Caenorhabditis elegans: one gene and its partner. The protein of the gene in region 1 purifies or fractionates together with the protein of each later gene. This does not show direct contact. Each region holds a gene or a part of one and is shown in the gene's direction. Other genes may lie near its edges.

Region 1 (16,308 bases):
AAAACTAGTCAAAAAATTTTTTTTGAGAACTTAAAAAATTGAAAAACAAAAAAAATATATATTTTCGACAGACCAAATGAGTTTAATTGAACTTTATTTGTGTTTCAAAACATACTTCAATAAACAAATCAAGATATTATTCTTTGTACTCGTTGAAAAACATTTACGTATCAGAACATGTTTGGAGTCGAAGTTTGGTTTTTTATAAAATTTGGTACGGACACTGAATTAGTACCACGTGTTTTCTATTTTTAATTTTTATCGTATCAGACAATTCGAGCTTTCCTCCCAAAAATGGAAACCAAGAACGACGGACACATTGTTTGCGTTTGCTCAATTGCTGGGTGGTCTGGTGAAACGATGGGACTTTCTTACTGGTAATTTAATGTTCCAAAGTTTTTGTTTTAAACTTTAACAGTTACTTCAGCACTAGCAAATTTGCGGTTCGCGGAGCTATGGAATCCTTACAAATGGAGCTCAGAGATCGCGGATTAGAGGGTATCAAAACAACTACGGTTGGTTGTTGCTAAATTATTGGCTAGAGATATTCTCGTTTTCAGCTCTACCCATATTTTGCAAGAACCCCAATGATTTTGGAAAATAATATGAGACCTACATGTACATGGTTCCCGTTCATGAGCATTCGGTCTTGCTCGAAAAGAATGGTAGATTCTATTTTGAAAGAAAAAGTGCACGCTTTTGTTCCCTCGTACATCACACTCATCCCTTTTGTGAAAAAGTAAGTTTCTCGGTTTCGTTATTTTGGTTTCCATGGTGAATTTTTATTAAGAACATTTGTTTTGAATTGTAGATGAAATCGGCATATTTAAAAATAATTAAAGTACTTTTTAAGTGTCAATATTCATGTGCTACTTATTAAAATGGCGAAAAATTAAAAATCAATGCCCTGTTTTCGCGTCTTATTATTATTTTTTTGAGAACTGTACAACTTTTCGTATTCGCAAAAAGAGCTGCCCGAATTGTTTTTCTGTCTGCGTCTAGTTTGTCTTTACACGCTCTATTATTGAGGTCACCATTGGTGTCCTTATTGATTCAGATAGTATCTCCTCTATTACACGAAGACACCCCTTCTTCTATCGTTTGAGAGAATCAAAAAAAAAAGAAACCAACTATTCATCTCCACTTACTTTTTGATTCTCGTACACTATGTAGAATATAGCCAACTAATGATAACATGATAAAATCTAATTTTTTATTTCAGTTTCTGCTCTCTTCAAGTGTGCCGGTCGCTTCGTAATTATTTGGGTGTTAAGTATTCCGCTTCAGATCCATCATTTTGCAAACTGACACTTATTGAAATGTCGGACTATTACAAAACTCCACAACTCTTCTGGTGGCTCCTCATTGTTCCAGCTCTGGCTATCAACTACGTAAGTTTTAAGGTTTCAAGTGAAAAAAAACTATGTTTGATAAAAATAGATATTTCAAAGCTTCCACTTCGATCTATATCTTTGATTTTTAGATTTCTTACGCCCATCCAGCAGCAGCACTTAATATTCCATTAATTGGATCTCTCGTCCATAAGATTGGAACTGAGTATCCATTTGTTGCTCTTTTAACCAACCTTTTCGCCCTTGTAGCACACGCCGGTGAAGCTCTTTACGCTCTTTATCTCTGCCATAAAGCCAATATCAGGTGAACTTTTTCAGTTGATTTTATAACAAATTGTATTTTCAGTTTTGCTTCTACCGCAAAATGGGTTGTCCAAACGTTTATTCTTGGTTTCCCGTCACTCTCTATTCTCAGTCGATACGAAGCCAAGCAGAGGAAGAATAATTGACTAGTAGTTGAAAATGTGTCTGATAGTTCCTAAAATGTATTAATTTTGTTTTTTTTTGCCAATGCAATGAACGACCATTTATTATCAAATAAAATGAAGAAACTCAACGAAACATTCTCAAATAAACAACATGTCGAGAGAAAGGCCAGTGTGTGCAAAGACGCAGAGAAGATCACTGCAAACGCGCTCCGTTGAGGTTGCTGTGTGAGATATCTTGGACAACCCCGCGCATTATTGGACTGTTTTTTGTTGTTTTATTGATCATGTAGTGGTCAATGAGCAGGTCATTCTTGCCTTCGCTGTTGCCAGAGAAGGTCGGCTTTTTTCTTCCCTGTTTTTGGTGATTTTGCCGTTTTTTTTTGTGTATTGAGTGTACTTACTGTGTGAGTCTTTAGATTTTCCGTTTCACGCATACACGTTTTTTGTAAAATTATTAGTTTTTGTAGGACTCTCGGTTCAAAAATTATAGAAAACGTGCAGACTGGACTATGAATTATATTCGAAGTTCTTCATTGTAACATTGTGAGGTCGTCTTTCCAACTCTCAACCTATCCCGGTGATTTTCTCGGTTTCTCTGCGTGTGTGTGTTCAGAGGACGAATACGTGCAAAATCGCAAGAAATGGGCAAAGAGAGAGAGCGGGGCAACTGCGCTTTGGGTCCATCAGAAAAGAGAGATAGACAACTTTTGTGAAAATCTTGTTGCGGGACAAGGGCACCGCACTTCTTGCTTTTCTCTTTTCTGGCCAGGCTATTTACTTCGTTGCTCAGTTGCCATTTCTGCATGTTTTTCTTATTTTTTCTACTAGTCGAAGTTTTCCTTCATAATCAATATAAAGAGAGTTTTCAAGGCATCGCTGTTTATCACTTAACTGACCAAATCAAATCGGTCGTCCTTATCTTTCTCCATCGAAGTTATACACGAAACTGTTTTTCTCCATCATCTTACTTTTTTCTTTTGTGAACTGCTGATGTCGTTGTTCATTTTATCATGAAAATCATTGTTTTTAGGTTGAACCATGCTCCGTGCTGCATCCAGTATCCGCGCTGTGGCCAATCGTGGATTGGCAACTGCTGCTGTTGCCAGACCAGGAGTGTAAGTTTCTGAAAGTTGTATTCGGTTTTGAGATCAATAGGTTCAATTTCAGACCACTTGATGAACGTGAGGGAAAGGAGATTTACACTACTGTAGGAATCGATTACAATGAGCCAAAGTTCGACAAGATTTTGATTGCCAATAGAGGTAATCTCAAGCATCTAAAAGAATCTTAGATTTAATCGTCTATTTTACAGGAGAGATTGCGTGTCGCGTGATCAAAACTGCCAGAGCTATGGGAATCAAGACAGTGGCCGTTCACTCAGATGTCGACAGCAACTCGCTTCACGTAAAGATGGCCGATGAGGCTGTATGTGTTGGAGAAGCTCCAACTGCCAAATCCTACCTACGTGCTGACCGCATCTTGCAAGCTGTCGAGGACACCGGTGCTCAAGCGGTAAGAATTCTAACGTGTCTATGTAATGGAAGGATAAACCGCAAAAATCAAATATCAGAGGAGAATGTAAATTCTGTGGCATGAATCTACATGCACAGTAGCACAAACATATTACCCAGACATCCGACAGAGAATAGAGTTTTTGCAAAAGTTCAGAACACCGCTCCAAATCAACTACTACTGTTCAAGAAGTCAGAGCGTTCGCGCTTAACTTCAAACGGAGAGAATAGCTTAAAAAAGTTGCTGACTGAAAAAATGTGAAATAAAACATTCCCTACATTTTGATAATGCTCAATTTTTTCATGCTCATATCACCTGGCTGAGATATGAGGGTTTGAAGTGATGAAGCTCTAGAGTTCCCTCTTATGGCCTGTTGAAAACTGTGGTGAGGTCAAATTATGAAAAGCACGAATTACCGCATTTTTCAGAGGACAAGCTAGGGTCAAACAGTTTGACAACCCGAGCGAGAGCTTTTGGCTGTGTAGCAGCTTAAGATTTACCGTAATATATTAGAAACCAGTTACTTGTAATATGCACGTGATATTCACCTACTTTCACTACGAAACACAACAAAACAAAAATTCTGTGACAAGTGACCAAGTGGTCTCTTTCCAGTCTCTAGCATCTCGCGTGTTTCATTTTCAAATAGTCAAAGTCAAATGACGAGAGATAGATTGCAAGTGTCTTCTGTTATGTTTTTCAAACAGAACTGCTAAAAACGTTGAAAACATATATTTGCAGGTTCATCCAGGATATGGATTCCTTTCCGAGAACACCAAGTTTGCCGCCGAGCTTGAGAAGGCTGGAGCCAAGTTCATCGGACCAAACTCTAAGGCTATTCTTGATATGGGAGACAAGATTCATTCAAAGAAAATCGCTACCGCAGCCCGTGTCAGCATGATTCCAGGATATGACGGAGAAATTGCTGATGAGGATATGTGCGTGAAAGTCTCCCGCGACATTGGATACCCAGTCATGATCAAGGCTTCTGCCGGTGGTGGTGGAAAAGGAATGCGAGTTGCCTGGAACGACAAGCAAGCTCGTGAAGGATACCGTTTGTCCAAGCAAGAAGCAGCTTCTTCTTTCGGAGATGATCGAATGCTCGTTGAGAAGTTCATTGACAACCCACGGCACATTGAGATGCAGGTGCTCTGCGACAAGCATGGAAACGCTTTGTGGCTCAACGAGCGTGAATGCTCCATTCAGAGAAGAAACCAGAAGGTTATCGAAGAGGCTCCAAGCAGCTTTGTGCCACCAGAGATGAGACGCAAAATGGGAGAACAGGCCGTTCAGCTCGCCAAGGCTGTCGGTTATGACTCTGCTGGAACCGTCGAATTCCTCGTTGATTCTCAGAGAAACTTCTACTTCTTGGAGATGAACACTCGTCTTCAGGTAATATCTCAGTATGGCCTAAATGTTTAATTTTTAAATACTCACAGGTCGAGCATCCAATTACCGAGTGCATCACTGGAATCGATATTGTCCAACAGATGCTTCGCGTTTCCTACGGTCACCCACTTCCAATCACCCAAGAGCAAGTGCCACTCAACGGATGGGCTTTCGAGTCTCGTGTCTACGCCGAGGATCCATACAAGGGATTCGGTCTTCCATCAGTCGGACGTCTCTCCAGATATGTTGAGCCAAAACACGTCGACGGAGTTCGTTGCGACTCTGGAATCCGTGAGGGATCGGAAATCTCTATCTACTACGATCCACTTATCTGCAAGGTAAAGGATAAATTAGCATTTAGATAATTTCAAGTGACTTACTTTGTAATTTCAGCTCGTTACGCACGGAGACAACCGTGAACAGGCTCTGAACCGCATGCAAGAGGCTCTCGACAACTACGTCATTCGTGGAGTCACTCACAACATTCCACTTCTTCGTGATATTGTCCAAGAGAAGAGATTCCGTACTGGAGACATTACCACCAAATATCTTCCAGAAGTGTACCCAGAAGGCTTCCAGGGAACCAGCCTCTCACCAAAAGAGCAAGACGTTGTCATTGCCTTTGCCTCGGCTCTCAACGCTCGTAAACTTGCTCGTGCCAATCAATTCTTGAACCAGAACAAACAACGTAGCACTCATGTGGCTTCCTTCTCGAAGACCTACAAGTTCGTGTCTTCTCTGCCAGTGAAGGAGGGTGAGAGGCCAACCGAGCACGCTGTTGAAGTCGAATTTGTCGAAGGAAGCGCCAACAAGGCCCAAGTTCGTATTGGTGGAAAGACTGTGACTATCAGTGGAGATCTCAACTTGTCTCATCCAGTCAACTCAATTGAAGTCGATGGAGAGCACATCACCACCCAAATTGTTGGCAAGCGCGCCGGAGAGATCACCGTTCTTTACAAGGGAACTCCATTCAAGGTCAAGGTGCTTCCAGAGCAGGCCGTCAAGTACTTGCAGTACATGAAGGAGAAGGCCAAGGTTGACTTGTCCACAGTTGTGCTCTCACCAATGCCAGGAGCAATCAAGAACGTCAACGTTAAGGTAACATTATTTTATCACTACCATTAGATGTGCTAAAACTGATTCAATTTACAGCCAGGAGATATGGTTTCCGAGGGACAAGAGTTAGTTGTCATGGAGGCTATGAAGATGCAGAACAGTCTTCATGCTGGAAAGACCGGACGCGTCAAGGCCGTCAATGTGAAGGTTGGAGCCACAGTCGACGAGGGAGAGGTGCTCGTTGAGCTCGAGTAGATTATTCTCACTGAACCTGAATTTTTTTTGTTGTTTTAATTACCGTTTTTTTCCTAATTTTGTACAATTCAAAGCCGCCACTATCTGGTATGGAGATTGATAATTTCATTCGCAGTTTCTCAAATTTCAAGCCATATTTATATTTTATTTTTGATGCCATTACCCTCACCTGTTGTATTCCAATCATCACGGACGTATTTCTCAGCCACCACCCTGTTTTGTTGCCCCAAGTATTATGTAGTGAATAAATATTGTAGAAGGCATTGCAAAAAGGTTGTTATATGAAGAAAAAAAAGCATTTGCTCATTTTTTGAACTTTTCAATTAGAAAATTATATATCTATTCTGTTTCTACATAACATAAGTGCAGATGTTTTGTTGATTAAATTTTCTATTTTTTGTGAAATAGCTTGTGTAAACTAAACATTTTACCATAGTCCATAATTGAAGCTCGGAAATAAGCGTTGTGAAAAAACTTGTCAGTTTGCAAATCTGTTTTAAAAATTTCAGATTTCTCTTTTTTATGTTCTTCTTTCATGTATCTCAATTTCAAAATATTGAATAGCAGTGCCAATTGATTATTCTGAAAGAAAATTGACAAAAAGACGAGTTGAGACGAGAAGATGAAACAGAAAATGATGGGAAGAAGAAAAAGAAGAATTTTTCTTCCAGTTTTTTTTGCCGTTTTCTGTTCTTTTCAATCTCATTTTAACTCACGTTTTTTGGTTTCGTGTGAGTAGTGTCACACTGATATTGTTAAATTCTGTTAACTTCTAGTTGAGAAAATAAATAATGTCAATATTTTAATAAAACTTACTTGTAGCACTTTCAGATCTGTAAGATGTCTAGTATCGGTATAAGTAGATACGAAGACGGGGAAGAGAACTGTTGCACAGCCTGCCTTGAATTTATGCATGAACGGAGGAGCCCACCATCATGCGAACACAATTGTGTTGCATGTTTTTATTGTAAGTATAGATTTGATTTTTTTTTGAGTTGAAGCTTGATTATCAATAAAACGAAGTGCTAGTTGAAGTTTTAAACAGTTTAAATCTAACTTTTTCGAAAAAGTGGGTGAGACCCGTCCCTTTCCAATATGTGTTAAATTGATTTCAAATTAAAAAGAGAAGTTTGTTGTATTATAGTATTTAGTCTTGTTATTTTTTTAAAGATGAAAATAGGATCAACAAATGAAAAGGGTTTTGTCATGACTCAGTATGTTCTACACTCTAACCCAAATTGTTTTATATGATGAATGCTTGTTTTGTTTTCAGTATTAATTGCTCGACGAACCAATTGTTTGATTTGCAACGTGACAATATACGAGATTGAGCGCATCTTCAAAGATTTGAGGAGCAGGGTGAATATTGAAGCTAATAGAATGAATTGACTGTAATTGAAAATGAAAATGTGTTCTTATATGTGCATCTTCTGTGTATCACTGTTTTAATACAATAATACAGATTTTTCTGTCACGTGGAATTCTATACTTGAAGAGAAAAGCTAAACGGTGGACTTTGTTGAAACTATTTTGAGCTAAATATCGTATTCAAAATCGTAGGGAGTTCTTCTTTCACATATTATCCTTGCATTACTAAATCAGAACTCCCAAAATTGAAGTTCTCGTGAACGTCTGTTCCATTCAAGTTGTTTCGTACTAGTCAGAAACATAAAACTATTGTCGGAGCCCAAAAGGATTTTTGTTGTTGTAGGAGGCGGTACCATGAACGAAGGTACCACCTTTGTAAACTTTCAGCTATATATTTCAGACTTTAACATCAAAAATTACGTAATAATTTGTTTATGTTTGTTTTTTTTTAACTATTTACATTTCAACATTTTATCATTATGGAATTTGTAAGCCCTAAGAAACTTTTCATCATTCATTATTCTCCATCAGCTGATCCATTTTCCTGGCAGCTGAAAAGAAAATGTTGTGGTCAAAGGGGGCCTGCGTTGAAATTCGCCGACGCAATTTAATAAACATTGATTATTGCACAACCCTTCCATCGCCTTTCGTTTTCATTCTGTTCAGCGGAACGAAGCCAAACTGGCGTCAACATTTCTGAGCAGTGGTCAATGAGCAAGGAGGTCTCCCCTTTTCTTTCACGCGCGGCATCACGCGGAAAAGATTCTTGAGCACGCGCTGTTGCGCAACCCTGAAAATTGGGGGGACGACGTCTCCTCATTTGAAATAGTATCGAAAAATGAGAGAATATAAAGATTTGAACGTCCACACTGCTTCGTTTTTATTAATTGCCAAAGAGTCTCATGCGGAATATCGCGTTTCAATCTCGAGAAACTTATATCGCAATGAATGGTCATAACTCGGAGCAGATGAATGCTCCAGGGACTTGATTTCTTATGGAGAAGTTCTGGATTTTGTAGGAAGGAAATTTAGAACAAACATCTCGTTGCCTGGAGTTTTTAAGGAAAAAAAAAGACGAACATCTTTTACAAAAATGACAATTTTCCTTTAGCACACGTGACAGGTTCACTTCTTCTCCCCCGCACATTCAATCTTCAACGATGAACGGATGTCCGCTTACAATGTTTTTGCTATACGAATCTTCATCTCCACTCCTTTTTTGTTGTGCTGATGCTCCCGATTCAGCGTGTCCGCTAGTCGGACGTTGGTCGACGTGAGGTGAATGAGGAAAACAGAAAAAAAGCAGCGGAAGACACGGATTATGTGTTCCATCGGCGACGAACAAGAATAGTGAGCAAGAACGACATTCAAAATTGGATGCAAAAAAGGAAGAAAGCTCGCGCGGTTCTCTCTCGGACACGTATGATATATGCATTTCAAATTGAGTAGGTTTCGGCATGAAAGCTATGTTTCTTTTTTTCGGATGTTGAATTTAAAAAGCAAACTTCATCAGACTTTTCAAACAATCAAAATTAATGTTTCAGTTTGAGAATGTTTTATAAATGTTTCCCCTTTTCGAAAACACTATTTAAAGCTCACTTGTAAAAGTGAATGTGCTTTTTCCTTTACATGTATTGTTGTTATCACATACGATTGAATCCAAACAAATAAGTATTCAATTCGCGCGTGAATGTTGTTGATTGTGATAACCCGCATAATGTTTTCTGTCCTGACCGTTTCAAATCGTACTGCGTATTCACAGTGCCCCCTCCTATTCTCCATATGGCGGTGACCCGCCCTCGTCGGCAATGGAAGACGAAATTCAAAATTCTTGTCCCGTTTTAGCATGACTGATGATTTAAACACTAATAGGCTCCGTCAAAAGAGTTTGTGCCAAATTTTGGGGGAGAAGGAATGTGTCACTAAAAATAAAATTAGGACGAATCATTTTGCCACTGTTCACTCAGTTCGTCCCTTGTTGAATTCTCGTTAGTGTGTGTTCAATTTTGAGATGGCGCAACGGGTGGTCACTCGGCGAGACGAAAAGGTCCCATTGGCAATTCGAGATGGACGGGAAAAAGAGAAAAAGCGTGAAGGAAAGAGAAAACGGGACCCTCTCCTCTCCATGATTTCTCTCCGTCTCGGACGCACTGACCACTCTATACTCGGTCCTTTTCGAGACTTCTCAATGGTCCCTCTGAATTTGAAGCTGAATGCTTTTCCGCGCTCCTTCATCAATTCGTCTCACTCCCCCTTGCTGCCTCAAAAATACGCGTGCTTTTCTAAAAACGCCGTCGTTTCTCTGGCGCTCTCTCTTGCGGAAAACACGACTGACCATTCACTCGAGCCTCTGCCGTCTATAATTCAAGAGCGTGTGCGTTCCTAAGAAGATCGTCACTCAAAATGATGGCGAGTGCTCACTAGGAGGTGAAATTGTTAGCCGCCATTGTGCAAGAAGGTCGAGGTGGTAAGAGAGCCCGTGAATTGTTAAACGAAATTCTAGAAGATATAATGGAAAGTTGACACCTTCGCGGAAAGTGGGGCGGAAGCAAGAAGGTTTCGCAACATTGCTACACCGGATGAAAACCTCGGCCATGTCATTCAGCAAAAACGCAAATGCCTGATGAAGCTTAGGAAGTTTAAATGATGTCACTTTTAGAACTAAAATAAATGGCGTCCTTATACTAAATATGTTGATAACTTTAGCATTTCTGCTTGTATTTCAAATGTTGACATAAAAGGTGAAAACTGAGGTGAAGTCATTTGCAAAGGGAAACGGCATAGATGAAAATTAGTTTTAATTTGTAAACTGAGATCAAATGATGCAATTTAAAAGAAACCACAAAAATGAATTTGATTCAGTTATTTAAAAATTGAAATTTTCAAAAAAAACTCGAGAACCCTGAAACTTTGCGGAACCACATATTATTCCTTGTTGTGCAACGCATTTCAACCTAAAATTGAACTCGTTTTTTAACCTGTGAACATTGAATCAGGAAACTTTCAGAAAAACACTACCTGTATGAACTCTTTCCATAATTTTCCCTGTGGTTTAGGAGAAAACAAACTATTTTGGTGTGTGAAAAGTTTAGGCGCAATGGTGAAACTTGCAGAAATATGCTCTTTCGACTTGTTCAAAGTTCCATTCGAAAACAAACTTTCGCACCCTTCTCCTCTATGCCCTGCAACCTGAAAAGGAGGACTCTAGCATTTCCGCTATTATGAACATGGACAAATATTTGGGTGAAGAAGGTGGAGTTGGAGAAGAAAGAGAAAGAAAGCGAACCTCCACGTCAAGCTAATGCCACCAAACTTTTTTCTTACCTTGCACCAAAAGTACACAAAGAACTGTTGACTGTTGCGAGAGAAAGGAAGAACGTTTGTTGATCATTTGAATCGTTCGGTGAGTTCTGAAGCTTGGACATAGAACAAAACAGTTTGCGAGTTTAACCTATAATCCGTTCTTTTGACTATCTAAAATAAAGAAGCGGATTGAAGTACACTTTATGAGACATCAGTGTTCATACTTGAGATGCATTCTATCCATCTGCTCTATCACTGAGAAAACTGCAAAGCGGTTGAAATAATCTTGCTGAATCTTTTCCTAATCTGGGAGTTGACTAGTTGAAATGTGCATCCGTGCATTTGATGGTCAGTGCCCTGCGTTTAATCCTTTCCGCAAGTCGAGCATTCCATAATAGATGAATATAGACCAGAAACAAATGGGATGGCAAGGGACGGACCTTAAAGAAAAGTAGCCCTTTTTAGTTCTATCTTACTTGAAATTAAATCATATCAGCATTCAACGCAGTTCAAGAAATATTTGGGGGTATTGACAATTTACAGACAGATGCTGATAAAACAACTGGTCAGTTGACTGACCTTTCAAGGAACGGAAACTTCTAGTTTTCTCTCTTCAATTTCAGAGCTCCAATTTTACCCTTATCAGCTTGTTCCAAATCGAAACGCATTGACCATGGAATGGAAGTTATCAGCTGCTTTTGAATAAGTGACCAGTTCTTATCAATTCTGATGTGAAGTGTTTTGAAAATGCTTCATTTCGCCATTTTCATTTCCATTCATATTTGTTATTATTATATCAAATGTGTATCTGTTTGAGAAAAAGCTTGCAAAGTCCAAGCAAAATTCATTATTTTTCTATCCATTTTTCCATCAAAGCGCGTTACTATGCAACAAAGGGGAGGTTCGAAATAAAGTTCATTTGCAAAATCTCTCCTTGCTTTCCTTATGCACTTTGTAATGAAAATATTCATCCCTTTCTCATTATATCTAACTGACTAATATCGAAAGTATAGACTTCGGAGTTTTCGCCACAGTAGTGTCCGTCATTTTTGTTTGACAATTCACTTTGTTTTATTCATGTGCTCACAGGAGGTACTTATGAATCATGTGCCTCCCCGTTCCTCCGTTCTTTTTGATGATGAGCCGATGCCTTAAAATGTTTTCATAACCTCCCTGCAGTGCCTCCCTGGTACCATCCAGACATAGTTCTGTAATGCTACGAGGCGTCTGAATGGGAAATGAAATGAAGATAATTTTCTCGACCAACTCTCCCAAATCACTTTCTACTCCATTCCACAAGTCGACGCATCCTATTCAGAGGAAATGAGGTTGCGCTAGAAATGAAAGTGCTCGTGATTGCGTAACAAATTTGTTCCCTTCTTTCCGCATCTCCCATTGCTCCTTCTGCTCGTTGCGTCAAAGCGGATGGACGTGAAAGAGAATGAGAAAAAGAGAGGAGATCAGCAAGTTTCCTCTTTCTCTTTTCTCTTGAAATGGGCGTGGTCTAATGGTTCAGTAGGGGCTCTCTACTCTGCGGAAGGGTCGCCGCGTGCGACGTCTGCATCTCTCTTCCGCGCCCTACTATTCAAGGCGGTGGTCCACAACTAATTGCCAGCGAATCGAGAGTCTCGAGCAACACTCTCAGACGTCCCCTATCGCTGGGACGCGGCCTGGCGTCAACCGCGTCGTCCGCTTCCCTAACGCATTCGTTCTTCTTGCCCTGCTTCTTCTCCCGTCCGCCTTCCTCAACTCTGCCGCCCTCTCCTCTCCGGACGCCTCTGCGTTTCGCGGGAGTCTTGCACAATTTCCCCCGTCTTTGCCGCTCCCACGTGCGGCTCTCCGCGAGCGTCCACACTCTTTTCGCGTTCTGCTGGTCACTTCGCCGCCATTTCGTCTTCGTCATCGAGGCGGGAAAAGGGAGCGAAAAAGCCCGGGAAGTAAGGAGAGCACGGGGTCCACTCGGTTTTCCAACGGGGCCACACATGCGGACGGAGACGCACATCCATTTGCATATTGCGTAATCGAGATGACACACGTTTCAAAACTTTCCGCAACGCTTTCCGTTTTCTTTTCCATTCACTTCCAGAGAGGAACGTCATCTCTTAGTCATCCATCGTGTCCATTCCTAGGTGTATTGTAAAAAATGATTGCGAATGTCATGCTTTTACAACTAAATGCAAAATTGAGTGGTACCGTACTTGGCTCTCTTTTCTTTTCACTACCTTTTTTGTTTTTTCTGCTTTTTTTTGCAATTCTCCTTCCTTTTTCTTTTCTATGAACTTCAGTTCTCAATTTTACATCGTCTTGTTTTCTCTTCTCTTTTGTATTTTCAATTATTTTCACTATAGTCGGTGTGCATTGTCTAGAAATTATGTATCTGTCAAGTGTCGCTTCGTTTTTACTCCATTCTTATAATCTTCCAATTATGTCAAAATTTTAAATTATTTCAGTCAAACCCTCGAATTTTTCTTTTAAAGGTTGCTGTTATTATGCAACAGCTTGATTATGTTTTTTTTTGCTGCACACACTTTTCCGATGAAAACAAAAACGGGCTCTATCAAAACACGCTCGGTGGGTGAAAGAATAATTATGATAGCTTCATCTTGTTTCTACCCCTCTCCTGCTATCATCTTGAGTGCCAGCGGGACAAGTTGCTTAGGTTTTTATCACATGTCTGTCTGCCCACGTTTTAATTTGACTTACTCATTTCTCAACAGTCTTCCTTTTTGTCTGCAATCTGAAATTATAGAAATATAATAAACCTGTTTGTAAGTAGATGTGATGAGTTATCAATTTTTAAATTTAGTTTGAAGATGGAGTGCGGCCATTGGAAAAGGAATGAAAAGCCATTCCTATTTCCCAAAATGACCAAATATTATAATAAAACTTTTTTGGTCCCTTTTTTTTATATTTGAGTCAAAAAAAGGGAAAACTCAGTTTTCAACTATTTTTTTGAGTTGTCGATCAAAAAAATAATCGTTACGTATTTCCTCTAATACCCTTGCAGTCTCTATTAGTCTTGCACCTCTATGGTCCAACTGAAAAATACAACACTGTAGGTGTTCAAACAGGCGCCCATTTTTTAGATTTCTCGAAAAGTGGCGTTAAATCAGTTTTCATCACTTTATAACACAAAATTAAAAAAAACCTCAAACTTTTTTTTGAACATTACTTGTTTTATTATGATATTTTGTCATTTTGGGATCACATGAATATGCTTCAATCATTTTCCCACTGACAGTACTCCACCCTCAATATGATTGACTTTATCCAAAAAACTCCCTGTTTGGCTGAAAATTACATAATTACAACTATTGTTAAGCTGTATAGAAATTTGATTGCCCATTATAGGTTTGAAAAAAAGATGATCAAATCTACTTGACCGACAAGTAGCTCGACACGGTAAGCGTTTGTTAAGATTTAGAGATTGTTTTCGACGCGCTTAGATGAGTTCAGCTCCCGGGGGGCCACTTCGAGAGCACGCAACTCGGGGAGGGTGCGCAGGATGACGGTCTCGGCGTGTTTGTTGACCGCCGGTAGGCTTTCTTATCACTACAGTTAACTTCCGTCTCTCTTCAGTTAAACCCTCTCCAAATCGGTTGTCGCCTCTTTTTAACCTCTCTCCAAGTTCAATTTTTTCTCTTATTTTTCCTGGCGGTCACTTTTTTGGCTGCTGAACTGCATCCGCTCCTCCTGTTTTGCTTCTCAATAAATCGCTGCTCAAGAATTCTGAACATTAAACTGATTTTCCCATCAAAGCTGTCAAACGAGAATTCTAAGAGCTCATATGTCCAGCTAGCGTTTCTTTGACCCATGAAATTTAACAATTTTATTGGTTTCTCTGCAGCAGTGAGCATTTCTGATGCTCTCTGATTGCCACTTGCAGCTGATGATCTAATTGATATTTCACAAGGGCGTGAAGATCCGATTGTAATGCATCTGAAAAAAGTCAGAATTATTTACCAAAAATAACTTTATACGAACTTTGAACTAGAAAAAATAGGTGTGATTTTTTCCTTTTTTTCGAGATCCGGAAAACTGCTCCGAAATTACATTTTGCAGACTTTTGAAGTTTCCAAAAAAAAAGTAGGTTTTAAAAACTTTCCAGACTTTTTCAGGGTTTTTCAAAAATCCGTTAAACTCTGCAAAAACAGCTTTTGTAGCATTTTTACTGTCTTCAAAATGTAAAATAAAATATCTGAAGGACTCAGATCGTCTTTTTTTAGATCAAAGTGTGCATGTAGTAAACTATTGCACATGTGTTTTTGGAATCAATGAGGTTTGAATTCATTCTGAAAGTTTCGGAAATTCAAAATGAATTTTAAATTTTCAAATTCTTATATAATACTTCTCAGCAAAAAATGCAAATTAATTTACTTTTGTAAGTGTACAGTTTGACACCTCGATTGTGAAAATAAAGTACACTTTGACACACTTTGACATGTTATTCGTTACATACAGTTTTGAATATTCAAATTTGAATAGTAAATTCCAGGTGCCTGACACTCTAGGTAATATGTGAGATAAAGGTGTGTAATCCGACGGCGGCGCGCGCGGTTCAGTATGCCTTCTCAATTTGGCAGGCAGCCGTTCAAACCACCGCCTGTTACATACTATTTGCTGTATCTGAACCTCGACCGTCTTTCCTCTCCGCGAAGCGATGACCAGCTAGCTGGCGGAACGCAACCACGAATACAAATATATACCGTCTATCCAAATATCGTTTACGAGTTGTTTTGCAGTTGGTGTCTCGAACCTGAGTACGTTCGTTCAAGAGCCCGCTTCCATCTCGGCACAGGGTCAGAACAAAGGGAAGAAGCTGCCAAATTTATTTCATTTCGCATCGCTTTAATTTTCATCTGTCACAAATTACACAGGCACGTCTAGAAGCAGCTCGATTTACTACTAGTGGTCAAGCGCATCTTGTTGTTGTTTTGGCACTGTGTTGTTGTTGACAGCTCAAGAAATGTCTCATTTCGCATTCAACGACAATTCGGTTTTCCGTTTTTTTTTTTGCTCGGTTCCGGTGTTTTTTTGTGGGATTATCTCGTGTGAAAATTTGTGAATGACCCATAATTAGTACCTCATTTATATTTCTTAGTTTGTGTAGAAGATCTATTTGTATACAGTATTTGGTTAAGTTTTCATTTTTCAAAAGACAAAACTTACTTCTTGTTCTGATATTGACTTTTTAGACACACACTATAACTTTTTAAAAGTGTTTCCATCATACCGTAATTCTCCAAATATTTTTTGCACTTCATTGCTAAGCATTGACAGCCATGATCTAAGATATCATTTATTCTATGCAAAATTGTTGTTAAAAAAAATATTTGTTAGATCTTTTCCAATCGTTCTGTAGTTGATAATTTATTCATATCTTTGAAACGAACCGAGTTATAACCTTTCAAAATGAAGTACTAATAAAGCAGATGCATACGGTGCTACAACTTTAAACTAGCATTGTCAAAAATCCCGACAACAAAAACACCATTAACCATTCTCTAAAAATAATATTTGAGTGTTTTAATGTTCATAACAAATTAGTGAGTAATCATTAAAATATATTGAAAATGGTTTCCGCAGTAACTTTTCTTTTTATGCAATTTCTTGCTCTGCAATATTCTCCTCAAAGTTTTAGTAAC
Region 2 (16,855 bases), on another chromosome or scaffold:
ATTATTTCGTCCGTTGGAAGACCGAGTTTCTCTTCAATGTGTTCATTCCAGCGATACATTTTCTCAGATAATGGGCTCTGTAAAAAAATGAAAAGCATTATGTGACAAACATTAATTACTTACTTTTAGTATCCTATTGTTCGCCTTTTTTCCATTCCGGAAATTCAGTGGCTCACCGAGAACGGCAGTATTTACAGAAGAAGCAGCAATACGACTATAAGACATTCTTGAAATTATCTTGTTAAGGTTGGAAATCATTTAATATTTATAGGCACTCGGAGACGAAGAGATCAAAATGTTTGCGTACGATAGAGAGCATCGTAGCAAATCACAAAAAAGTTAAAGAGACTTTAGAGAAAAAGTGCATTAGATAGTGCAGGAGGTCAGGGGAGATAGACGGTCGCATCACAATTGTGGTTTCTTGGCGTTTCTATGTTGTAGTCATTTCTCCTTGATAATGACGCTGATGTATTTGGTAACAATTTCGGATCTGCCAAAATACATCAGAGTCACATTCTGGGACACTTTTTCGAATTTTAATGTACTGTGAAATCAAGTTTATTCTTTCAATGAGCACGTAAATACAATTTAGGAATGAAGTGGTGTGTATTTGATGACCTCTGCAAATGTATCTGGCTTTCCATCAGCAGCCACGAATTTCATGTATTCACCAGCTTTTTGTGCAAAATGGCTTGCTTCCTCCTCGTCAGTAAAATCGGGAACTCCGTCCGTGGATCTAGAAAAATTGTTTTTCTGATTGTCAATATTCGTTCATTTTCATACCTGACGACATCATTTATCGATCGTGCAGCCATTGTTTTCATCTGAAAGTGGGCAGCATGTTTGGAAGTGAAGTAATCAGCTGGAGAGAATTTATTGTCCAAAGTGGAATGTGCTACGCCACTTAGCAATTTACGAGGCAAATCTGAAAAACAAGTTTGTATATTGGAAATATATTAATTCGATAACTAGGTCTTACCTGGCTCACCAGCAGCAGCTCGAGCAAAACCTATTCCTTGTGTAACGTTGAGCTTCACAGCATTGACCATCGCTGATGCAGTTTGCCAACCTCCAGTAATATAGACAACAGTCTTTCTCATTGATCTTGCAGCAGTCTCGATAAATTGAAGGAAATAATTTTCACGCGCGATAGTGCTTGCTCTTTGTTGAGCCTCTTCAACACATTGTTCCATTTGACCTCCAGTCAATTCAACAAAGTCGTAACCAGTCTCGTCGAAGATCTCACAAAGACGACCGACTTCATCGTTGGTGAAGGTGTTCTGGTAATCGGCAGAGTTCAGCTTCAGGCCAATTAGGAAACCACTGGCAGCTGGAACTTCTCTTCTAATGGCGTTGTATAAATCGATGTGGAATTGAGTACGAGTTACTAGAACGGCTCCACCATATTCATCAGTTCTCTTGTTGTTGTTGAGCAGAAATTGACAGAAGAGATTGCCAAATGCAGTATTAATTTCGATACCATCGAATCCACAGTTTGAGAGAAGCTTTGCAGCATAGACAACACGATCGATCAATTCAGACTTCACAACGCTTTTCGGAGCATTCAGAATATCAAGAGCTCCATCACTGATGATGTGCTTTTTGCCACTCCCATCGGTGTATTCAGTGAAAGCCCACGCTCCTGGCTGTAATTCATTTCATTTTTAAATCCAGATCTCGGTTTTTGAACTTACATGATTAAGTTGAGCAATTGCCAGTGCATGATTTGCCTTCATTGCTCTCGCCATCTTTGCATACCAATCTCTCATTACTGGAGTATCATTTTCCTTTGAAACAATTCCCTGTCCAGCTTCGTATGGATGTCTTGGATCAATAACGAGATTTCCAGTGAAAACAATACCAAATCCACCGAATCCCCATTTCTCGTACAAGTGGACAAGGCCAGAGTTTGGAACTCCACGTTTTGTCTCGTTTGGATCCTCCCAGTTGTAAATCTTTTCCGACATTGGAGACTTCATGAGACGGTTCAAAGCAACTCGGCCATTACGGAAATGAATGTGCTCTGTGAGGGGTTTGATATCCACACAGTCGGCAACGAGACGTTGATGCGGCATTTTTGAAGTTGAGAGTTAATGATACTGAAAAAAAATTATATATTTATTAACAAAGTTTAAATTTCAATTCGAGCGAAGAAAAAGCAAATAGAAGCCAGCAAAATGAGTTTGGAACTTGACAAAACGTAGAGGTCTTTTATATATAGAGATATAGACATAACGTACGAACGGGAGGAGGGGGTCGCCCAAAGTCATCATTTTCGCGGCTATTGGGTAAACAACCCTACAACACACAATGTACTTTGAGGGCCCATGCAGGCGGAGAGATCAACGATGGGTGTAAGACAAGAAAATAGTTACTAAAGGAATCAAAAAGTAACCCAAGTACATCTTTACGATCAATGATGACAAAACGATTGTGATTTTTCGTGTTTTGGCATTGTTTTCTTCCGCCTGCTGGTCTATTTGTCATTTAGTTTTGAGCTACAAGATAGAAACTAGAAAACATACGTTTCCATGCTCATAACGAATTTTCAGACATTAATTTTGTATAACCGTACTTTTTGTTGAAATTTACAGTTTTTTTTTGCGATGAAACACTGGGAATCTCTTGACTAAATTTAAGGTTTTGCAACAAAAAAAATTAATCATAATTTTTTGTAATAAATAGAATAGAGGAACATAAAAATAAAATTAGAAGAAAAATGTTTCCAATCGACTGCCAGTGTTGCATCTTGGATGAGAAAATGGCCTGTTTTCAATTTACTATGTCTTAAATGAAAGTGAAAGTACCTCCTAATAGACTTAGCGCGTCGCAACAAAAATTTTGAAATGTACAAATTGAATTTTCATCTTCAAGTCAAAAATTCTTAGAAGAACTAGTTTCAAACTTATAGTTTTCTTTTTTCAGGTCTCGACATTCTCAAAGAATTACTGGCTCGTGTCTCGGAGCAGGATGACAAGATCGCTCAACCATTCTACAAGCGTTACTACATTGATCTTCTGAAACACGTGTTAGCAGTTGCCTGTGACAGTTCTCAAGTTCATGTAGCCGGTTTGACCTACTACGCCGAAGTGTTGTGCGCGTTATTCCGTGCTCCAGAGTTTTCGATCAAAGTTCCGCTGAACGATGCGAATCCTTCGCAGCCGAATATTGATTACATTTATGAGCACATCGGAGGAAACTTCCAAGCTCATTTTGATAATATGAACCAGTAAGTTTGAAAATAGTTTCGAAATTTCAATAATGAATAACCATTTTTTGCAAAACCAAAACTCATATATATCAGCATCAGGCTGGGATCAAAAAAATAATTTTTGACCAAAAACAAAAAAATTAATTTTGCGAAAAACGAAAAATTGATGCTTGAATTTATTTTTAAAAAACTAAAAAACTGAAAAAAAATTTGTTTTTTGTCCAAAAAACCAAAAAAAAACCATTTTTGTCAAAATACCGAAAAGTCCCAGCCCTGATCAGCATCAGGGCTTAATCCGAATTTTTTTTTCGAAAGCGAAAATTTTTCTCCAAAAACAAAATATAAAACGTAAAACAAAATTTGTTCGCAAAGTTATTTTGAAAAACTTAAATATTTTGGCCAAAATTGCACTTCTTAAATTTCGAGTACGATTTTTTGAAATATTCAAAAAATAATTATACATTTTACAGTAGATCAGAATTTTTCACCAAAAATATGAAAGAAAACAAAATAAAAAATCGAAAAATCTACAGTCCTAATCAGGGTTGTCGTTTTTTAGTTTTTTTTTTTAGCAAAAATGAATTTTTTGGTTTTTTTTTCAGAGAAAAAACTGTATTGCAAAAATGTTGATTTTTAGTCGGGAGAAGGAACAAAATTCGAAAAAAAATTTGTTGTTTTTTGTAAAATTCAGAATGTTGAAAAAAAATTTTTAGTGACAGCATAACAACGTTCGTCTTTCAGAGATCAAATTCGCATTATCATCAAGGGATTCTTCTCGTTCAACACTGAAATCTCCAGTATGCGCAATCATCTCCGCGACTTTTTGATTCAAATCAAGGAGCACAACGGAGAAGACACGTCGGATTTGTATCTTGAAGAGCGAGAAGCTGAGATTCAACAAGCTCAACAGCGCAAACGAGATGTTCCTGGAATTCTGAAACCTGACGAGGTGGAAGATGAGGATATGCGTTAAGTGGTGTGACCTGGTTTATTTTCAATCGAAATCCTAAACTCGCCAACATATCACTATACTTTTTTTCAAATCTAGTTTATCCACTTTTCCTGAATTTTCACACTATTTGTTTATCTGAATCACTCTATCCAGAAGATCAATTTATTTTGGTCCAAGACCTGCATACGATTGCTCTATTTATCTTCTGTTCGGACAATGATTCCATTTTCTTCCCCATCTCCGCGATCCCGATTAAATATCCCGTACCTTTTCCTTTCCCAAGGTTCTCTTTCCTCCCTAATCTCAACGAGCTAGGTGCCCAGTTTTTTTTGGAATCTGGTCTCTATTTTCTATTTTATTTCTCTACCAGTTACTGTGTAGCTCCCCTCAACCGGATCTCGGAACCCCTTTCTCTCCCACTACTTGATAACTGGAATCTTCTCTGGACCTACTTCCATTCATCATTTATCATAATTTCTGTATTCATCCGTGCGCCCCCTATTTTTCTCTGTGAACCATTTTGGCAAATTTTCAAATTTCTTCAAAAATTTGAACATGTTCATTACTCTTATTTTTTGTAATTGCCGGACCCAATTTTTTTGAATCCTTCTGTCAATTGTCACTCTTCCTCAATTCATCATTCTTGTTGTTCATTGATTCATTCAATTATTCTTTATTATTTTATCATACATTTTTATTTTACCCCCACCACCAGCAAATACAGTTCTCTATGTGAACATACATGCGAATTTTGTTGAACAATGATACAAATAAGTATGAGGAGCTTATAAAATTGTGCAGCATTTTGACTTGGAAACCTCTCGATGATACGAATCAATTGTATCGATAGAGACACGGGGCATCAGATCATTCGATGACGGCTGTGTGATGACTACTTTTGGAGGCCGTCGTGGATCCTGGAAATTATATAGAATAGGTTAATGATTAATTAACTCAGTAGAGGGATACCTTTGGATCTGCGGGCTTTGTCATGTCCTGCATTCAGAACATGAAGAAAATGATGGTTGGTAGAACTGCTGGAAACATAAGCATTTCAATGACGTCACAAAGAAAAGAGCACTCGAAAATTGTTGAGAAGCGTGGAATTATTGAAAAATGTGGGAACGAAGGTTTTGAATTCTTGACAAAAGGCTCGCCCACAAAATGGGCGTGTTCGTGACAGACCCGCCTCTTTTGTGGGCGGAGTCAAAAATACGGCATAAAACATATTTTTCGTAAATCGACACAAAGTGTACAAGTTATTTTGGCTGGGAATCGATTCGAATCTGAATGAGAAAAATTAAGCTAATGATTATTTGTGAATAGAGAAAGCCTGCAGGACATGAGAAAATTAGCCTAATTAACCTATTTTTCACATTTTGGTATTCTAGGCCACGATTATATATTTTTTGGGTTATGCATTCATTTAAAATTAGGCAACCATTTGTTTATTCGTCATTTCAATTTTTGCACGTTTCCGACATTTTCCAATTTTTCGACATTTTCCAAAGAAGTTTCCGACATTTTCCAAAGAATTAAAATTGAAGCGGACGAATTTGTGCTTGAGACACAGAGGAAAAGATTGAAAGAAATATAAAAATAAATATGAAATTCGATGCAGAGACTACTACATCAACAAAACAAAAGATCTTGGCAAAGAATTCTGATTTTGACTAATTTATTTCCAGAGTTTCTGCTTTGAATATATATATGAACTTTAGAAATTTTAGTTGGACGTGGCCTAGAAAAAAAAAGACTCGGCCACCGATTTTTTAGAATCTTTCACAGAAATTCAAAGAAAAAGCTTTGTGGGTTTATATTATTTAAAAGTGGCATATTTGGGCCACGTTATTTAGGCCACAATCATTTTAGATTGGCATTTGCTACATGGCCGAGAAATAGTCAAATCATGGGTGTGTGCGGCAAACTATTTTTCCGGCAAATCGGCAAATTGGCGGAATTGAAAATTTCCGGCAATCCGACAAATTATTTTTGGCTAATTCGCAATATGGTTTCGCACATTTTTCTGGAAATTTCAGGATTTCAATTTTAAACCGCAAAATTGTACGCATCCTTTGAATGTCTCTAGATCTATTTTAAAAAGGAAGCAAATTCTATGAAAATATATGAATAAAACGGGAAAAAAAGTTTCAAAAAGGCACAGTTTTAAGTGTTTCTGTCTTATAAAAAATCCCTCTAAACATTTCCAGCAAATTGATATCCGGAAAACGGCAAATCGGCAATTTGCCGTAAAGGACACTTTCCGGTAAATCTGCGAACCGGCAAATTTCCAATTCGTCGAATTCGTCGAATTCGTCGACAAAAAATTAGTCTAACGGCAGTTTCTACCCAAGAGTCAAATCACAAAAAAAAAATGTTTAAGTGTGTGGAAATTCCGTTAATTGTGTGAAAATCCTGGTTGAAATTGCTTCAGAATTTGAATTGCCCCGCAAACTGGACAAAAATATAGACCTGCCGATTCTAGGATGCGTTTTCTCCCATCTCACCAAAATTTCCAGATTTTTTCTTCACTAAAAACTTTGGTTTAAAACACAAAGCTTTAGAACAAGAAACCAAAAGTTTGCCAAAAAAATGCAATCTGATTCAAAAATCTAGGTCCAAAGAGACACGAGCTCTCGGTAATTTGTACTTGTCTCCCGAATTTCTTTCCTTTTGAAAATCTCGACAAAAAATTATAGAGCGTCTCAAAAAACGTAGACATTCAGCGACAAAAGGAAATAAATATGTCTGTTGTGAAAAAGAGTGACGAGTGAGATTCAGAGCCAAGATAAGTTGAGCAAAAAGGCGAGAGGGTCCCGAAGCTTTCGTTTGGACCATCAAATTGAATTAGAAGGGTCAATTGGAGAAACCTAATGTCGCGAAGAAGAAGCTCTTTGTTAGTGAATGAATGAGAGACTGCGTCATTTGGAACACATTTAACTTTCAATGTATCTTCATATACAATTAAATTGAATTTCATTTTGGCCGGCATTTAATTGGTATTCAAAATAAGAAAATAGAAAAACGTTTCGAAAATTGATGCACTTTTATAGCCAAAATAATTTATTGTTCGGATGCTTTTAGTTGGGATGAGCTCTTAAATGAAAACAATTGAGAAGATATAATATGTACCTTTAAACCAAAAAAACAATATTGCTCCTTTATTCATCATAAGTGCCAATAAAGAACAATATCAAGCGCAAAAAACAAATTTAAGGTACTGACATCATTGGTTTTCATGGCAAAAGTTTAGAACAGGAGTGTACGGCAAATCTCAAAATTGGCAGAGCTCGGCAAATTCCGCAAATTTGCCTAGTTTAGAACTATAGAAATGTTACAATGTTTCATTTACTTTCAGTAAGAAAGCTACAACTTTTCAAAGCTCAAGTAGAGTAAGTGGGGAAATTGTTTAAAACCACTCCTATATTCTTCTTATTCTTATAATAACAATCTCGGGAAAACGTTTCAACATTTTTTTTTTAATTTTTCAAATTTGTAGAAAGAAAGAGGTACATACTTACTAGGTTTCAACAATAATAATTTTGAAAAAAAAACATTTCTACAAGTTTTAATTCTTGTTGCATTTTAATTGTTTATATTAAGATATTCTAGGACTCCCAAGCTACATTAGTCCTAACCAAAACCACCACCTAACCAAATTAACCAAATTAACCAAAAAGTCCAAAATTTTTGAAAAACTGGCATGTTGCCAAAACTTTGACTGAAAAATTCGAGTGGTATTAACTTTCTATGTGCTTCATTTATTATTTTTTAAACTGCCTTCTACGAAACAAATACCACTCAACTTTTTTGTTTAGATTGATATCACAAAATAATGTTAATGTAGCTATATTTCTATTCCGACTAGTGCCCCGTATTTTGAGCATTTTTTTAAAATCGAATTAAAAAAAAAAAAGTTTAACTGAAAAGTTTGAAAATCACCAAGATTTTTTGTGTGTTTTTATTTGTGTTTTTTTGTGAAACAATTTCATACTAAACATGCCCAAATTTCAATAAACAAATTCAATTTTTGGCCATCACGTTGTAAAAATTTAGTAATATTTTTTTGAATTTTAGCCTTTATCTACTTGCAAAAAAAATCAACGACCGAGCTCTAAACAGACTTGTGTTTCCTTTTTTTAAATTATTACGTTGAAAAACTTCACAAATTCAGTTTATTAACAAGTTGCAAGTTTAGCTTTTTAAAAAAAATTGAATGCCGTTACTTATAAAAATAATTCTAGCAATTTTTTGATCTTTTTAGAAGTTTACAAAATTCTAGTTTTTTTTCATCCAAAATTGTTCCTATAATTAAATCCCAAGAAGCCCTTTAAAAATTACATCAATGTTTCGAAGAACTTTTCTCTTCCGGGTACACTTTTCTTTTTGATATTTAGCAAAAATTTGAAAATACCAGATCATTTCCAAGGTACAAGTTTCAAACTTTCGCGCCAAAATTTGATGTATTTCCTGAAAAAAAAACAGCAACCTAATAGATCAGAGCAGAGTTTTCTTTTTCAACTAAACGGTGTCCCATTGTTCTCACTAAGCCAGTGAGCTTTCATCTAAAATTCCAAAGAAGTGAATATTTTATGTGTTGAGTGACAAATACCAAAAAATTCGAAATTTCAAAGCAAAAGAGATATTGGAAAAGAAAAAAGAAGAGTTTTCCGTGTTTTTGTCAAACGACATCTACTTCATAAATGCCCCATCCGTGGGGAAGAAATTGAGAAGAAGAAAAAAGAGAAAAAGCGATGAATGAATGGAAAATATTAATGATGAATATGAGAAAAACAACTGAAATTATTATTTTTTGTTTTTTGGGGTGAACGTAGGAAATTTGTTATAATATTGAATATTTCAATTACCAAATCAGGAAGTATACAATTTTTTACAAGGAGAAATTATTGGAAATGAGAAACCTCGACAGTCTCTTAAAGTAAGAACTTTTGTTAATTTTCTAATTAACCGTACTTGGTTTTTTCAAAAGTACTGAAATTCTGAAGAAATTAAGCCTTATGAAAAGTCTGAAAAGGGATTTTGGAAACAATTACTTTTTTCAGCATTGGGAAAACGGAGAAAAAAACTCATTTTTGAGAATTTTTAGGGTGGCCGAATTTTCTTTTTTTTTCTTCTAGGCTACGCCTTGGTACTAAAAATTCTATCCGAACATAAAAGGAGCAATACAGTTTTAAACTGAAAAGAAATCACGTGGCAATACACGTCATAAAACATAACGACTACAAAACTAAAAGTTTATGCAGTCTTCGCTTGCTTCTCGAAAAACTTGTTATGGAAATGAAATTTGATATCTTCATGCTTTACTAACTAGCTTCTGTGAAGTAGGGAAGAAGATCAGTGAGTGGAATTATATATTCTATGAATCTTTCCATTTTGTTAGGGCAGCGCGGGAATTAGAGCAAACTTTCTCGATTATTTAAAATTTTATTTAAAAAACAAAGTTACTAGTTTAAATATCGTATTTCCTCTATTTGTATTGCATCCCATTGTTCAACTTTGACAACTTAAATATCAGTTATTGTTTGTTCTATTCAAAAATTGTCAACTAACAAAATATTTGTTAGATCTTTTTCTGTCATTTCGTAGTTAATAATATATACTACATCTTTTGAAAGAATTGAGTTATAACGTTTCAAAGTTGAGTAGTAGAGTGCAATACTAATAGAGGAAATACGATATTTATATTATTGCTCAACAATAGCGATTTTCGTAAATATTTTTGCAACACAGCGTTCGCACAAATTATTTTGAGTTCGCGTGATCTTTAAAATAAAACAAGGCAGCAAAACATAAAATCTTCAAACACAAGAGATGCTCTTTTCATCTTCCTGAAATGAGGGAGCTCAAAGAAAAAGAAAACCCGAAAAGTTGTGAATAGCTCCGCCCCGCCTATCTGCGTCTCTGCTTTTTCGGCATTTGATCATTTCGAAAAGTCTGACCAATCTGATTAAAGTATGTATGTGTGTTTGCACTAAAGGCGGCTTTTCTATGGCTCTCGCCTCATAACATTCATCCCATCTTAATTTTTGCAGCTGAAAAATGGGCAAATAGAAGCGGAAAGTAGGAAAAAAGGCGCCAAAATAAGCAAATGAATGACGGAAAAACGGAGAGAATATTTGGCGAGGTGCCAAGCGAGCTCCTACGTGTCAACTTCGATTATACCTCTGTTTTTCGTTGATTTTCCGTGTTTATTGAGTGCCCACAGGAAAACAAAAACGCATACTCGTGAATAAATAAGACATGAAACGAATGTGGCATGTGGAAATGGAGATTTTTTTGGGAATATAAATCTGGAATTTCAGCTGAACTTTTCATTATCTAGTTCATTTGCAAGTATATTTTTTATTTTGCAGTTTATTTTCATCTTCTACTAATAATAGTTTAAATGGGTCGCATTTTATGGTCTTGGCACGAACGCTAAATTAAGAAAAATACAGAACAGTTGACTTAAGAAAGGGAAATGGCGATTTTTCTTTTCTAAAATCGTTAGTTCCATTTCAAAATTGACCTGAACTTTATTTTCACTTATAAAATTTTCACAAATATGTTTCCTCGGAATCTATTTTCCATTAGTCTGTGGTGACTTAATACAGACGCAATCGCGCTCCACCGACACCTAATTATTGTTACCGTTCAATTTAATTCGTTCTTTCATTTATTTCAATTTTTTCCCCGTTTATTTAATTTGCATCATTAAAAAAGTTTTCAGAAAAGGAAAATGTCAGTGCCAGACAAGTTCTTTGGCCGTTATCAGCTCGATAAAAGCGAGAATTTTGATGAATTTCTCTCCTCGAAAGGTGTCAACTGGTTCGTACGGCAAATGATCAAGTTGGCTGGACTCACTAAAATTATCTCACAAAATCAAGAAGCTGGGAAGTGAGTTCAATTAATAATTTTTTTTAACTGAAAATAACCATAACTTTTTATCTGGTGAAAAACTTTTTTAACGAAATTTTTAATTTTTAGAATTTACAACTGTCAACTCTAAAATTGGAAATACGTGAAATTTTTAAAATAAATATGTCACATGCTTCTTTGGCATTTCCAAGTGGTGGAGGAAATCTTTGTCATAAATTTTTCATGTTTTCGTCTAGAGACCACGAAAACATTCAGTTCATCTTGCCTATTCCAGGTACAACATGGAAAATCTAACTTCAAAAAAGAACACCAACTATCAGGCATGGGAACTTGGAAAAAAATTCGAAGCTCCTGGATTGGATGGAAATCAACATGAGGTGAGAACGAAAATTATTTAAATAATTAATTAAAACAATTTCCAATTTCAGATCACTTTCGACTTCAAAGATGAAATCCTTTCGGAGCATCATATTCGCCTGAATGAACCAGAAACCAGCGCAGAGACTTATTTCTACACTATCGACGATCAAAATCAACTGGTGATGAGAATGGAGAATAATGGAATCGTCTGTCGCCGTTGGTTCAAGAGAGTCGAGCAGAAGTGATCTGAATGTTGATTTGATGCTTCTCTGTTAATAGTTAAACCTTATTTATATTATTGTGATTATTTATTGCTGTGCCTTTTTTGTTAATTTTACATTGAGGGTTTGCATAATTGTTTAAGTTTTTGATGAAAAGTTTCAGCTGTTCCTTCTGTGGTTTTGCACTCAACACTTTAAAAAGCAGATGTTCAGAAATGATGTCATTGAAATTGAATGTGGCGTGTTCTTGAATGTTTACCGCAACAAACGGATCAACTTTTCTGGCAAAGTGCCAGCCGTCTCCGATCGCCAGACAGGCTTTACGATGTGAGATGCGCGCACTTTTTGTGTTGACCCGGTCAACTGTGGTTACACTCGGAACACAATTCTGATTACACTTGAAAAACGAAATTGAACAAAAAATATAGAAAATAATCAAAATCAGAACATTATCTGTTTTTGAAATAATTAATCACGGCAAAAGTTCGCAGAAAAACGTCCTTGACGAAAATATTGCGAATTTAAATTTTTTTAAAAAGCTAGAATACGGTACCCGGTCTAGGCACGAAATATTTTTGTTAAATCCAAAAAGATGTGCGCCTTCGAAGAGTACTGTAATTTCGAACTTGTTGCTACGGAATTTTCATCGATTTTTAATAGTTTTTCGATAAAATAGTTATTTATTTACTTATCAAATACTGAAATATAATAATATCATCATATGATGAGTGAAAAATTATGAAAAATCGGTACAAATTCCGCTTAAATAAATGTTTAGGAATTACAGTACTCTTCACATTTTACAAAAATTAGCCGTGTCGAGACCGCGTACCTTTTTTGACACAAAATCACACAATTTCTGGGCATAAGAATATTTTCAGAATATTTTCAGAGTTTTGTCAATATATTATGGTATTTGAAAATTTTAAATTTATTAACAAAATATAAAAACCACGTACAATATTTACCTAGAAACACAAAAAATCGATAATTCAATGACGAAAATTATCAAGAAAATCTACCGTATTCGCGCCTACGGTAGAAAGTATCGGTCGTCGCAGGACCTCGACCATATTTCTATATTTTCTTGAAGGTTTCCGGGTTTTTAAAGGTCACAAATTTGAAAACAACCATTTTCAGTTTATCAGAGTATTTCAGAATTTCTCCGGCAGGATTATTGATCAAATTTTCTGAACCACCGATTTTTCGTTTGTTTATTTTAAATCAACAAAAGTCTTCTGGAACAATCTCAAGACGCCAATGACCCCCCTCCCTCTCACTTTTTTTGTGTTTCTATTTTTCGATGAATTGTCGACTTTGTGTGGCATCCAAAGACACCAAGTGGCCCTGTGTTGCAAAAAGAAAGTCCATCCTTCTGGCGGACGAGAGGAGACTTACAACTTCTTTCCATCCTCTCCTTCCTCATTAATCTGCGAAAGGTTGGTGAGGGGATTTTGGGCCGCCTGCTCGCGCCTGTCACCTCCATAAATAATTGCGATCTCTCTTGTTGCTCCTCTGGTATCTGTCTTCATCTACTTCATTCACACTGACTCATCATTCCGCCACGTTGGAATGTGATTGGAAAAGTGATAGCTGCTGATGTGAAGAGCAAGAAGAGACGAAATGACACGTGTAACTCATTGAAATGCTCATTCGAATGTGCTCTTGCTGTTGTGACACTTTTTGATAAATGCGATTGATGGCGGTTTTGATTTCAAAACATATGTGTGAGTAGTGCTGAAGAATTCTTTGATCTTTCAGAAGATTTCGTAGAACAATTTGGAAAATTTCCTCTGATCATCCGGTTTTATCCGGTTTTTACTTTATAGGTTGCATTTATCGCCTGGTTGCAAAAAAAAACAATTTTTCCAGGTCCTAGAACGAGAGACAATTTTCAGATACCGTACGCTCGATTTTGTCGAAATTTCTATAATTGTTTCAATAAACATCTAGATATTCAATGTAAAAAGCATCAAAATAGTGAACAAAAAATCTAGGAAAAAAAAACTGTAGCTAAAATAAATTAATGGTTTTTAAATATTATTTGGAAAAACATACTACATCGGTAGGTTCATCTTTGCAATTTTTAAAGCTAACTATTATCTCCACTTCTGTTCAAATGCATATTAGCTTCAGGGCTCCAATTCCTACAAGACTTCGCAGTTACTCGAAAGAATTTTCAGAAAACTTTTAGAGATTTTTTCTGGTCATTTTTGTGCCTCATTTTCCAAGTTTGCTTCTTTCAACTGGTTTTACGCAACCCTAGATATGCATGTATTAGGACTACAAGATTTAGTTACTTTATTTCCTAATGTGGCTCAATAACTATTTTTTTACCAGATTTAGAAGTTGGAAAACTTGAACAATAGTTGGGCAAGACTTTTTTTTAATCATAGCTCTAGTTTGATCTTCTTTCCTTATCCCTGTACGTGTTGAAAGAAATTTAATCAGGTGAAAATAAACATAAACAAATTGAAGTTTTGGTAAAAACGATTCAACATGTTGTGAGAACGGTGAAATTTGATTTGTGATTTATTCATGATTAATTTTTTTAAGAATCAAAAATCAAATTTTTTGCCAAAAAGATGTTCAAGAAGTAAATCGCGATCTAAATAAAGTGTTGCCTTTTCAAATCAAAGCATTTCAAATTTCCGAAAGAAGTTTATATTTTTCGGGCCTAATTTGGGCAAGTAGTTTCTGCCACTGCTGATAATTTTCCTATAGTCTTCAAAGAGACGTTCTTCACTTTCAGGAAAAATCTAAATCTAAATCTTCAACACGGTCCACTCTAGAAACGACAAAGTTACAAGAACCCCGGCCGAAAAAAAAATTCCTATCTAATCGGCAACATTTGAAAGACCTCCGATCTCACATTTTATTGCCGCAAGCCGCTCAACACCATCTGGGCACACGAAAGCTCTAAAAGTTTTACGACGGAGCACGGTCTCTCATGTTTCCCAGAACGCCACAAAAACCGCTATAAACTATTCGGAGCTGCAATACGACCCCCACTGACCCTCTTTTTGTGTTTATTCTTTTGAATGTGGATGAGCATTAGAGAAAATAGAAGAAAGAGAACAGATGAGGAGCATCACAACAAACTATATGACAACGTGTGTGTTTGTGTATGCACTTTACAGCAAAACCAAGATGTGAGAAGAAGGCTTCAGAATGATTAATTGAAGTTTCGGACCGTTTTTTTCAGTCGATCTGGCACGCTTGAAGTGTTACACTTATCCGCCCGCGCCACTCAGTTTGATTAATTTTTATCTAATAATTAAAAACCGGGTACTAGCACGAATCGCAGCTGCGGGGTCATCGTGGCAGATGTGTGCAACTTTTTTGTCGCCAAAATTCGACGATACGATTTCGTTTAAGCGAGCAACGCAGCTGGTCGTTGTACCATTTTGAAACTAAAAAAAACAGTACGATTGAAATTCATAAAGTGAAATGGGATGTGAGCAGGTGCTCATTGTGCACTATAGATCAAGCGTTCAGTTTCTATATTTGGTCTACAGAAATGATGTCACATGTATTTTACAGCTAAACTTCCAAGAAATTTCAAATTTATAAACGACATTATGACCGCGATGAGATTGGCAACAGTTTTTTTTTTTTTTCAAACAAAAAAACCACAGAGGGCAATCAGATCACAGAAGTTGCATTGCAAAAAGTAGGTTCTCGAATCGATTTGAAACTTAATTATTTGGTACAGAAAATGGTTGTCTTTGTCTTTTCCAAACAATCTCAAAATATCTATTTTTAAGGTTTAACTTTCAAGAATTGTGATTTTTTTTTTGATTTTTGATTAGAAAATTGCCAAAAACTATGCTCTTGAAAATCAACATATTGAAAGTCGACAAAAATAATTTCCCTATGAATTAAAAAATTAGCTTGATAATAATACACGCACTATATGAGTACAAAAGCAGTTTTGCTTAAAATTTCGAAAAAAGTATATCTAAAAAATTTTAAAAATTCTCAAAACATCTTTTCGCGCGCTTTTTTTCGATTGAAAAGAAAGCAATTTGATAAATGTTTCAAAACACGATATCATAATTATAATTAATTTTCTTGAATATAATACGAACCACGCCTCTTTCGGGCACTTGAAATTTTTTATACCTTAGGTGGACTTGCAAAAAGTTATTTCGAATTTGAAATGGGTAAATGTGTAAAAAAAACTCTAACTATGTTTTCTGAAACTTTCAAACAATCTTATAATTTCATTTTTATTTGTTTGTTTATCTATTTCAAAACTCTTCTCTTTTGAAATTCCATCCTCAACAAATTATATCCAGATGACTCTTCCCAGTTTCTAAATCCAAAAAAACCAGAGAAACTCCAACTGATTTTTGATATGCTATCTCTTCCGTCAAATCAATCTTAACAATTCATTGAGCAAGCCCATCCAATGAGATCAAATTTCAATGTTTATATACAAAACACCACAAATTAGCAGCTATTTGCAGAAACTATTGCCAACTTCCTTTCATAATCAAAACACAACTGCACACAAAAAGTTTCTGGAAGAATAAACATTTGCGAGTTTATGTCTCGATACAGTAGTGTTGCAAGGTCACTTTTGGGATTTGTAGTTAGACAAAAATGTTCAGCATGAGAAATGTTGAGGTCAAAACCAATCTTTGCACTCAGATGCATTGATACATCGAAACAAATCGAACACAACATTTTGAAATCTGATCCGCCGTGGTCAAGCTGATAGGAGTGGCAGGACCACGATATGTCAATCAAAAATCATTTTTGCTGATATCTCTCTGATCTTTCCGAATGTTGTTCCGGATAGAAAAGTTTAGAATTGCTTGTGGTGAAAACCAAAACATGTTTAAACTGACTAAATTTTTGAAGGTTTGAAGTGAATCCGATTTGGAGATGTAAGATCATTACTACACTGGCCCTACTCCGCCATCAAGTGAGATCATCTAGATCTTCAAAATTTTTGAAGCAAACAGCTTCACCGACGGTTTAAACGACATTAAATAACAACAATTAGTTGATTTTCAGGAAAAAATTTCAAGACAATTACTTGCACACATTTTCCAAACTTTCTTTCCCGAAGACCTTGCAGCAACGGACTTGGCACCGAAACTAAAGAAAGCTCATTTGCTTTTTATCCCCTTCATCTCCCACTCAAAACTTTGCCCTAAACTCTGGTAGAGTCTTTGGAGCAGTGTCTCCGTGCAGCAACAAAGAAGACACACGTCTGGCGGG

What was found.
Region 2: the proteins of F27D9.12 (region 1) and lbp-4 fractionate together in Caenorhabditis elegans (co-fractionation; one large-scale study listed by BioGRID). This does not show direct contact.

The regions. Positions count from the first base shown.
Region 1 is NC_003284.9:7,647,489-7,663,796, reverse strand, and holds F27D9.12 (RING-type domain-containing protein), read left to right. Parts: upstream 1-6,821; 5' UTR 6,822-6,832; coding exon 6,833-6,959; intron 6,960-7,265; coding exon 7,266-7,381; 3' UTR 7,382-7,396; downstream 7,397-16,308. Other genes in the region: dhs-29 (NADP-retinol dehydrogenase), read left to right, coding at 271-377, 428-515, 561-739, 1,223-1,391, 1,484-1,656, 1,699-1,801; pcca-1 (Propionyl-CoA carboxylase alpha chain, mitochondrial), read left to right, coding at 2,819-2,895, 2,948-3,042, 3,093-3,292, 4,034-4,684, 4,732-5,019, 5,075-5,779, 5,834-5,992.
Region 2 is NC_003283.11:7,809,685-7,826,539, forward strand, and holds lbp-4 (Fatty acid-binding protein homolog 4), read left to right. Parts: upstream 1-10,893; 5' UTR 10,894-10,902; coding exon 10,903-11,060; intron 11,061-11,316; coding exon 11,317-11,419; intron 11,420-11,470; coding exon 11,471-11,647; 3' UTR 11,648-11,793; downstream 11,794-16,855. Other genes in the region: xpo-1 (Importin N-terminal domain-containing protein), read left to right, coding at 2,926-3,229, 3,953-4,184; ZK742.3 (NADH:flavin oxidoreductase/NADH oxidase N-terminal domain-containing protein), read right to left, coding at 1-77, 124-225; ZK742.4 (NADH:flavin oxidoreductase/NADH oxidase N-terminal domain-containing protein), read right to left, coding at 589-736, 784-925, 980-1,646, 1,695-2,075; ZK742.6 (uncharacterized protein), read right to left, coding at 4,949-5,080, 5,133-5,165.